2 linked regions of the Sus scrofa genome follow. The protein of the gene in region 1 interacts with the protein of each later gene in a pairwise test. Links are inferred from orthologs where the notes say so. Each region holds a gene or a part of one and is shown in the gene's direction. Other genes may lie near its edges.

Region 1 (3,749 bases):
AAAATAAATAAATAAAATAAAGTAAAATAAAATAAAATAAAATAAAAAATAAAATAAAATAAATAAAGTAAAAAAAATAAAATAAAATAAATAAAATTAAAAAATAAAATAAAATAAAATAAAATTCAGGAGTTCCCATCGTGGCTCAGGGGTTGACGAAACCGACTAGGAGCCATGAGGTTGCGGGTTCCATCCCTGGCCTTGCTCAGTGGGTTAAGGATCTGGTGTTGTTGTGAGCAGACGCGTCTGCTACCTACCTGTGGTGTAGGTAGCAGACGCGGCTCAGATCCCGCGTTGCTGTGGCTCTGGCGTAGGCCGGCAGCTACAGCTCCGATTGGACCCCAAGCCTGGGAACCTCCATATGCCGCGGGAGCGGCCCGAGAAGAAAAAAAAAATTAAAAAGGAATTGTACTTCTGAATGTATACAGAATAAGCAAGAAACTGACGCCCTCTGAAGGATGAAGAGAGGGGTGTTTTTTCTTCTTAAATGTAAAAAGCTTTTTAAACGTTTAAAAAGTTGCATCTTCTGCACATATAATTTTAGAATTTCTCTTAGTTGATGGCACCATTAAAACAATACTGTATCGCCCTCTCTTTGTGCCCCCATCAACCCTAAAGTCTCGAAGGGACGCTCGAGGACCCGGGAGAGAGGAAGGCAGGACCCCGGCCTCCCCGCGGCGGCGGCGCGCGGCACACCCCTCCACTCAGGGCAGAGAGGCGTGTCCGCGCCATCCTGAGCAGTGGCCCGTTAGGTTCTAAGGAAGCCTGGACTCCTCCCTTCGTACCAGTTCTCAATCATCTCCTTAATGGCATTAGCCGGCCGCTGGATAACCTCCCCTGCCGCGATGCGGTTCACCACTGTCTCGTCCAACCGCCGGATAACTCCCGGTACCTGCGACATTTTGGCGCCAGAGCAGGCCGTGTAACGGTGAGACGCTCACTGGAAGGGCTTTCAGCCAATCTCCTTAGAGCTTCGCACCCACATCCTTCCAGCAACACTGCTGACGCCGTCCCGTCCCGCCCTCTAGCGGCAACACCACTTCCGGGACAGAGAGGTACTGATTGGGCATCTTGAATGCCAGTCAAGTTCTTAGCTCCATGATTCCTGTTCTCTTAGCCCTCCTTAGGCGGCTTTAGTGCACTTTGCAGCGAGAAGGATATGCGCCTGCGCGCTAAAAATCAGTGTCCGCTCTTCCTATTGGCTCATGCTTGCGGCAGGGGAATACGAAATCTCCAGCCAATAGGAATCAAGGTGCCGGAACCCCAGTGGTTTCCCCAGCTGGGGTGATCTGGCGCAGAGCGGAGTTGGCGCTTGGGGATCGCTCCTGCTCCTCCCCTCTCCTTGCGGCCTCCGGGAGGTCGGCCCAGATCCAGTGGTCTCCCGTGAGATGTGGATGACGCCCAAGAGGAGCAAAATGGAAATCGAGGAGCCTCGGGGTTTCCAGGCCGAGTGGACTCAGCGTTACCTGGTTGTGGAGCCTCCGGAAGGCGAAGGCGCCCTGTGCCTGGTCTGTCGCCGCCTGGTCGTAGCCAATGGCGAACCCGATGTCAGGCACCACTACGAGGCGGAGCACGATTACTACGAGCGGTATGTGGCGGAGGGCGAGCGCGCGGCCCTGGTGGAGCGTCTGCGTCAGGGCGACTTGCCCGATGCCGCCCCGCTCACCCCGGAGGAGAGAGCTGCTCGTGCAGGCCTCGGGCTCACCCGCCTCTTGGCCTTGAAGGGTCGCGGCTGGGGTGAGGGGGACTTCGTGTACCGGTGCATGGAGGTGATGCTCAGAGATGTGCTGCCTGATCACGTAGGCGTTATGGATGGCATTGATTTATCTCCGGAGATCACGCAGCAGAGGGTCCTAGACATTAACCAGAATCTACGCAGTCAGCTTTTTAACCGAGCCAAGGACTTTAAGGCCTATTCCCTTGCGTTGGACGACCAGGCTTTTGTGGCCTATGAGAACTACCTCCTCGTCTTTGTCCGCGGCGTGGGCCACGATTTAGAGGTGCAGGAAGAGCTTCTGACCATCATCAACCTGACTCAGCACTTCAGTGTTGGTGCCCTCATGGCGGCAATCCTTGAGGCCCTGCAAACTGCAGGGCTTAGCCTGCAGCGGATGGTTGGACTGACCACGACCCACACTCTGAGGATGATTGGTGAGAACTCAGGGCTGGTGTCATACATGAGAGAAAAGGCTGTAAGCCCCAACTGTTGGAATGTTATCCATTATTCGGGGTTTCTTCACTTGGAACTGTTGAGCTCCTACGATGTGGATGTTAATCAGATCATAAATGCCATATCTGAATGGATAGTTTTGATTAAGACCAGAGGCGTTAGGCGGCCAGAATTTCAGGCTTTACTAACTGAATCGGAATCAGAGCATGGTGAAAGGGTTAATGGACGCTGTCTGAACAATTGGCTTAGAAGAGGGAAGACCTTAAAACTAATATTTTCTTTAAGAAAAGAGATAAAAACATTTTTGGTTTCAATAGGGGCAACAACGGTCCATTTCACAGACAAGCAGTGGCTTTGTGACTTTGGCTTTTTGGTGGATATTATGGACCACCTTCGAGAACTCAGCGAACTATTGAGAGTAAGTAAAGTCTTTGCTGCTGCTGCCTTTGACCATATTTGTACCTTTGAAGTTAAGCTGAATTTACTTCAGAGACATATCGAGGAAAAAAATCTAACACACTTTGCCGCCTTGAGAGAAGTTGTTGATGAGCTTAAAGAGCATCTTCAAGAAGATGAAAAAATACTTGATCCTGAAAGGTATCAAGTAGTGATCTGTCGCCTACAAAAAGAATTTGAGAGACATTTCAAGGACCTCAAGTTCATTAAAAAGGACTTAGAGCTTTTTGCAAATCCATTTAGCTTTAAAGCTGAATATGCACCTATTTCAGTAAGGGTGGAGCTAACAAAACTTCAGGCAAATACTAATCTTTGGAACGAATACAGAACCAAAGACTTGGGGCAATTCTATGCCGGACTGTCTGCTGAATCTTACCCAATTATCAAAGGGGTTGCCTGTAAGGTAGCATCCTTGTTTGATAGTAGCAAGATTTGTGAAAAGGCTTTTTCATATTTGACTCGAAACCAGCACACCTTGAGCCACCCATTGACAGACGAACACCTCCACGCCCTGTTTCGGATTGCCACCACTGAAATAGAGCCTCAATGGGATGATCTTGTGAGAGGAAGAAATGAATCGAATCCATAAGCTTTTGTAGTACAACACCGAAACACTCAACAAGAATCCAACTCTAAAAGCAAAAATATGTTTGATTTTCAACTTTACTAATTTGGATTGTGGGAGAGTACCATGTTTTTTCACCCAAAGTGAAAAAACTTTCATCGCAGACATTTTTCACAATTCAAATGCTTCAGACAATTTTTTTTTCCTCTTTTCAAGAGGCAGCATGAGACTGAAACATGCAGATACCTTTTTTCAAAACTTGGTGGCAGAGTCATTATCTTTTGCTTTTATGATATAATTGTTTTTTAAAAAGTTCAGTATTAATCATGTGAGTTGAATTAGGAGTCTGTTTTTAAGACGTTTCAAAGAAACTTTAGCTCTTATTTTAACAAAGCGTTGAGATTCTGATGCGTATAGTCTGAAATTATCAACTCCTTAAATGTATGTTTGAGCCAGTTTGCAGAAACTCACATTAACAAGTGCAGAAGTTTCTGAAAAGGAAGAACGTACATACAGAGGAGGTATTTTGTCTAACTATCAAAATGTTTGAGACTATTT
Region 2 (3,749 bases), on another chromosome or scaffold:
TTGTGAACCTATTGGTTTTACATTATATTAACAGTCTAAGGAAAGAAGATGTATCTATCATTTCCCACAGTTCCCACCGTTGTTGCTTTTTGACTTCTATAGAGCAACTACACCTGTAACTTTGACATTTGTAACTTTTGTGTTCCTTAAGACCCAGTGTACACTCTGAGCTCTTATGGGTAAATGTGAATTTGCATCTTTAAGGCATGGTTGGCAACCTCTGCCTCATTCTCTTGGGTGCCTTAGCAGCACAGACTTCTGAGTCTGAACACACAGCTTCTCCACCAGAATGTGCGGAGTAGGGAAGTGGCTGGCTACCCAAGAGTCTTCTGAACCCTAAAGTTTGATCATCAGTTTTCAGTTCCTGGAACTCAGGTTGTGAAGATGCTTCCTGGGCTCAGTCTTTAGCAATGAAAATAGCAGATGGCCCCTCACCTGTGAGAAAAGAGATGAGTGAGACTATAGAAATTGCCCCAGACAAGGACATCTGACAGTTACTGAGAGAAAACGTTTACCTGTGCAAGAAACACTTTCACTCGGTTTATGGGAGCCAATCTGCAAGCACAGCGCCTAGTTTCAGCGATCCAAGGAGCTGCCCGCCTTTCCCGTGCTGTCACTTCCGACAGGGTAACGACAAACAGGGCTGAGCACAGCCACGTCTGGTTTTTGCAACCCAGGGCGACATTAACTGATTGATAACCATTTCCCCCTGGAATCAAGCAAATCAGCATTCCACTCCCTGCCTTGTGCCAGAACCCACAGATGAACAAAATAGAGGTCCGAGTCGGAGACCCGCCCTCAGCTCGGGGCTTCCCACCAGAGCAGAGCTGCAAAGGATGAGGCGAGCTTGCAGAAACCAGGCGATGAATACATATAAAGGGAAAGTAGGGCCCTTGAGGAATGGACAAAGAACCGGGACCCTCAGTCGGGGGAAGGCTGGGATCAGGGTTGAATTAACAAAAGATTCAAGGGAGGCTTTTTAATCGGCAGCTCTAAACTGCAGCCTGAGAAAATCAAAATTTGACCGTTTGTTCTTACAAAAGTGGTAAAGTAGATAATGAGTAAAAAATCTTTTTTTCGCCCTGAAAGCGGTAAAGGAAAGCCCCTATTTCCAAGTCCTAATCCTGTAACCGCGGGCGTGGTTCAGGGATGGGCCACCGCACGGCTCTTTCAAACCCCTGGCTGGGCAGTTCGAGGACTTAAAGAACACATCCTAGTTTCGCCCACAGCCGTACTTGGAGAATATCCCATACCGCAGACTCTTTCGTGGATGGACTTGGGATAAAGAGCGCCTACAAGTCAGCAGGAAGGATTCAAGGACCTCGTTAGCCTGAAAGCTGGGACGACAGACTTAGGGAGGCAGGGGACCTGGGCGCCGTTTCTGTTTCTGTAAAAGCCCAGCCGCGGGCAGCCTGGGTCTCCCGAGTCCCCGCGGGGCGCGGGACAGAAGGCGGGATGCGGAGCACGCAGGCGGGCGGTGGCCGCAGGGGAGACGCGCGGGCGCCGGGGCCAGCGCTCAGGTGGAGCGCGCGCCGCTCGGCAGCTGCGCCCCCGCCCCGGGCCCCGCATCCCCGCCCCGCGTTCGAGAACCGGCCCGAGTTGGCGGCGCCGGCCGAGGCGCTGGAGCCGCGCCAGGCGTGGGGTCGTCCGCGCGCCGTGGCTTTCCCGCCCGCGGTACCGAGGCGGGGCGGGGCGGCCACATCCCACCCCTCCCCCTCCCGGCCCGTCACCCTCCAGGCTTCTTCCCGCGCCTTCTTTCCTTCCCGCTTTCCCCGGAGAAACATGGCCGGGAGCAGTGAGGAGGCGCCAGACTACGGGCGAGGCGTGGTGGTAAATGCAAACTCCGATTTCGGGCCGAGTCGCGCGCTCCCCGCGCCTTCCCCTCCCCTCCCTTCCTGGCACCCCCCTCCCCCCGCCTTTTCGATTAAACGCCAGAAATGCATTCGGGAGAGGGCGGCCACGGCTTTGTTCTTCCCTCCGGCGGGATCGCTTCCATCCTCCAACCCACCCCCACCCCCACCCCCGAGCCCAATCTGACCCCACATTTAACATCCCTTCACCCCGTGTTGTCAGTGTTCTCTCCGCCTCCGCCAGGAATCCGCCAGCATTAAGCCTGTGTGGTGCCGGGTCCCCCTCCTGCTGGCCACAGGAATCACCTCTGGGGGCCGGGCAGGTCTGTGAAGACCCCCGCGGGCCGCTCTTGTGGGACTCCTCCTATTGTACTCCCCCCTGACTCTTCCAGTGTAGGCTTCACGTTTTGTTTCCAGAAAGGATACTGAGGATTCTCTAGGGCAGCTAGGAAATAAAGTAGCTCTAGTGGACGGAGTTTGAGCTTTGAAACCTGGGCTCAGACTCCTTTCTGTGGGTCCTCTGCACGAGCTCGAGCTCGGTCGGGACACGCTAGCGCCCCTGGAGCAAGCGCCAGTTTCTGCAAAAGGAAAGCACAGCACGCTGGGCCTGTGGGGCCAGCTGGAGAGGATGATTGTAGGGTGTCTAAAAGTGTGGCGGGTGAGAGGATGTAGGATGCTGGGGTCCCAGACCAGAGGCTCTTTATCCCTGGGAACTGCTCGTAGTCACTCATCACCCGGTGGGCAGCCATCTCTCAGTGTCCTGATTCCAGTCACGGCTTGCCCTGTGGCCCGCCGGCTTCTGCTCGGAAGAGAATGGTTTCAGTGGAAGGTGGTGGTTTTAATGTGTCAGGTTTAAAGTGAACCGGCGGTGAGGAGTGGTGGGTGGGGCTAACTTGCTACGTGAAGAGTCTTTGTTTTGAGATCAGCCTGTGATGAACAGATAATCTGTGGCTGGGACAGGACTAGAAGAGTAGGAAGTTTGGATTTGGAAAGCCCTCACTCTAACCGCCCTGTTCAGGTTGTACTATGTTGCCCAGTATTAATTTCATAGCCGGACCTTACCCTCCTAAAGGAGAAGGCATTCATTTATATAAGCATCCCACTAATGTTGACTGTCCTGCTGGGGTACAGGTAGTGTTCTAGGCTCAGGGGAAACAAGACATAGCCTTGTGTTCCTGAAGCTTACATTTTAGAGGGGAAGGCAGACAAGCAGTGTGAAAGCAAATAAATAAAGAAGATGCTTTCGGATGGTGATGTGTGCAATGAAAAGAAAAGAGATCATGAGATGAAGTGTGATCGCAGGAGGGCCGGGGATGCTGCTTTAGCTCAGACGGTGGGAGTGGCCTCTCTGGATGACAAGAGATGCTAGCTAAGCAGTAGGTAGCCATGTACAGACTCTGAAGAAGGGTTGTCCAAGCAATGCCTATCAAGTGCAAAGAAATCTTCACATTCTAAGAAATCATGGCATCCAGTTTATGCTTTTTTTTTTTTTTAAAGTCACTCCAGGTGCCATGGAGAGGATGGTTAGACCTAGGGATGGGGTGAGTTGGAGGGGGATGAAAATATAAAATGGGAAAATTAAGTTCAATTTAAGAGAAGCTGAGCCTATAGTGCCTGTAAAGCCTACGGTCAGGATGCACAGGAGGCAATTTGAAATTCCTATTTGAAATTCAGGAGGGCGATTGGATAGATTTGGAAATTGTCAATAAATAGAAAAATATCTGATGCTTGGCATTAGAGAGCGATGCCCAGTGAACATGGGGTGGAGCAAGGAAGTAAAACCATAGTTAAGGGTAGAAACCTGGAAAGCCCCCAGTGTAAGAAGCAGAGTGTCTGGGAGAAGGCAGATAGGAAGACTAAGAATGAGTAGCAAAGTAGAAGAGAGCTGACAGGGTGGTA

The links.
Region 2: the proteins of EPM2AIP1 (region 1) and PRTFDC1 interact in binary tests that used the Homo sapiens proteins (3 or more experiments, as listed by UniProt). The two-hybrid records come from large-scale screens. The link is inferred for Sus scrofa from reciprocal best matches to the Homo sapiens genes EPM2AIP1 and PRTFDC1.

Annotation. Positions count from the first base shown.
Region 1 is NC_010455.5:21,876,758-21,880,506, forward strand, and holds the start of EPM2AIP1 (EPM2A-interacting protein 1), read left to right. Parts: upstream 1-1,105; 5' UTR 1,106-1,388; coding exon 1,389-3,215; 3' UTR 3,216-3,749.
Region 2 is NC_010452.4:50,364,331-50,368,079, forward strand, and holds the start of PRTFDC1 (phosphoribosyltransferase domain-containing protein 1), read left to right. Parts: upstream 1-1,323; 5' UTR 1,324-1,455; coding exon 1,456-1,830; intron 1,831-3,749. UniProt on the Homo sapiens protein: Has low, barely detectable phosphoribosyltransferase activity (in vitro). Binds GMP, IMP and alpha-D-5-phosphoribosyl 1-pyrophosphate (PRPP). Is not expected to contribute to purine metabolism or GMP salvage.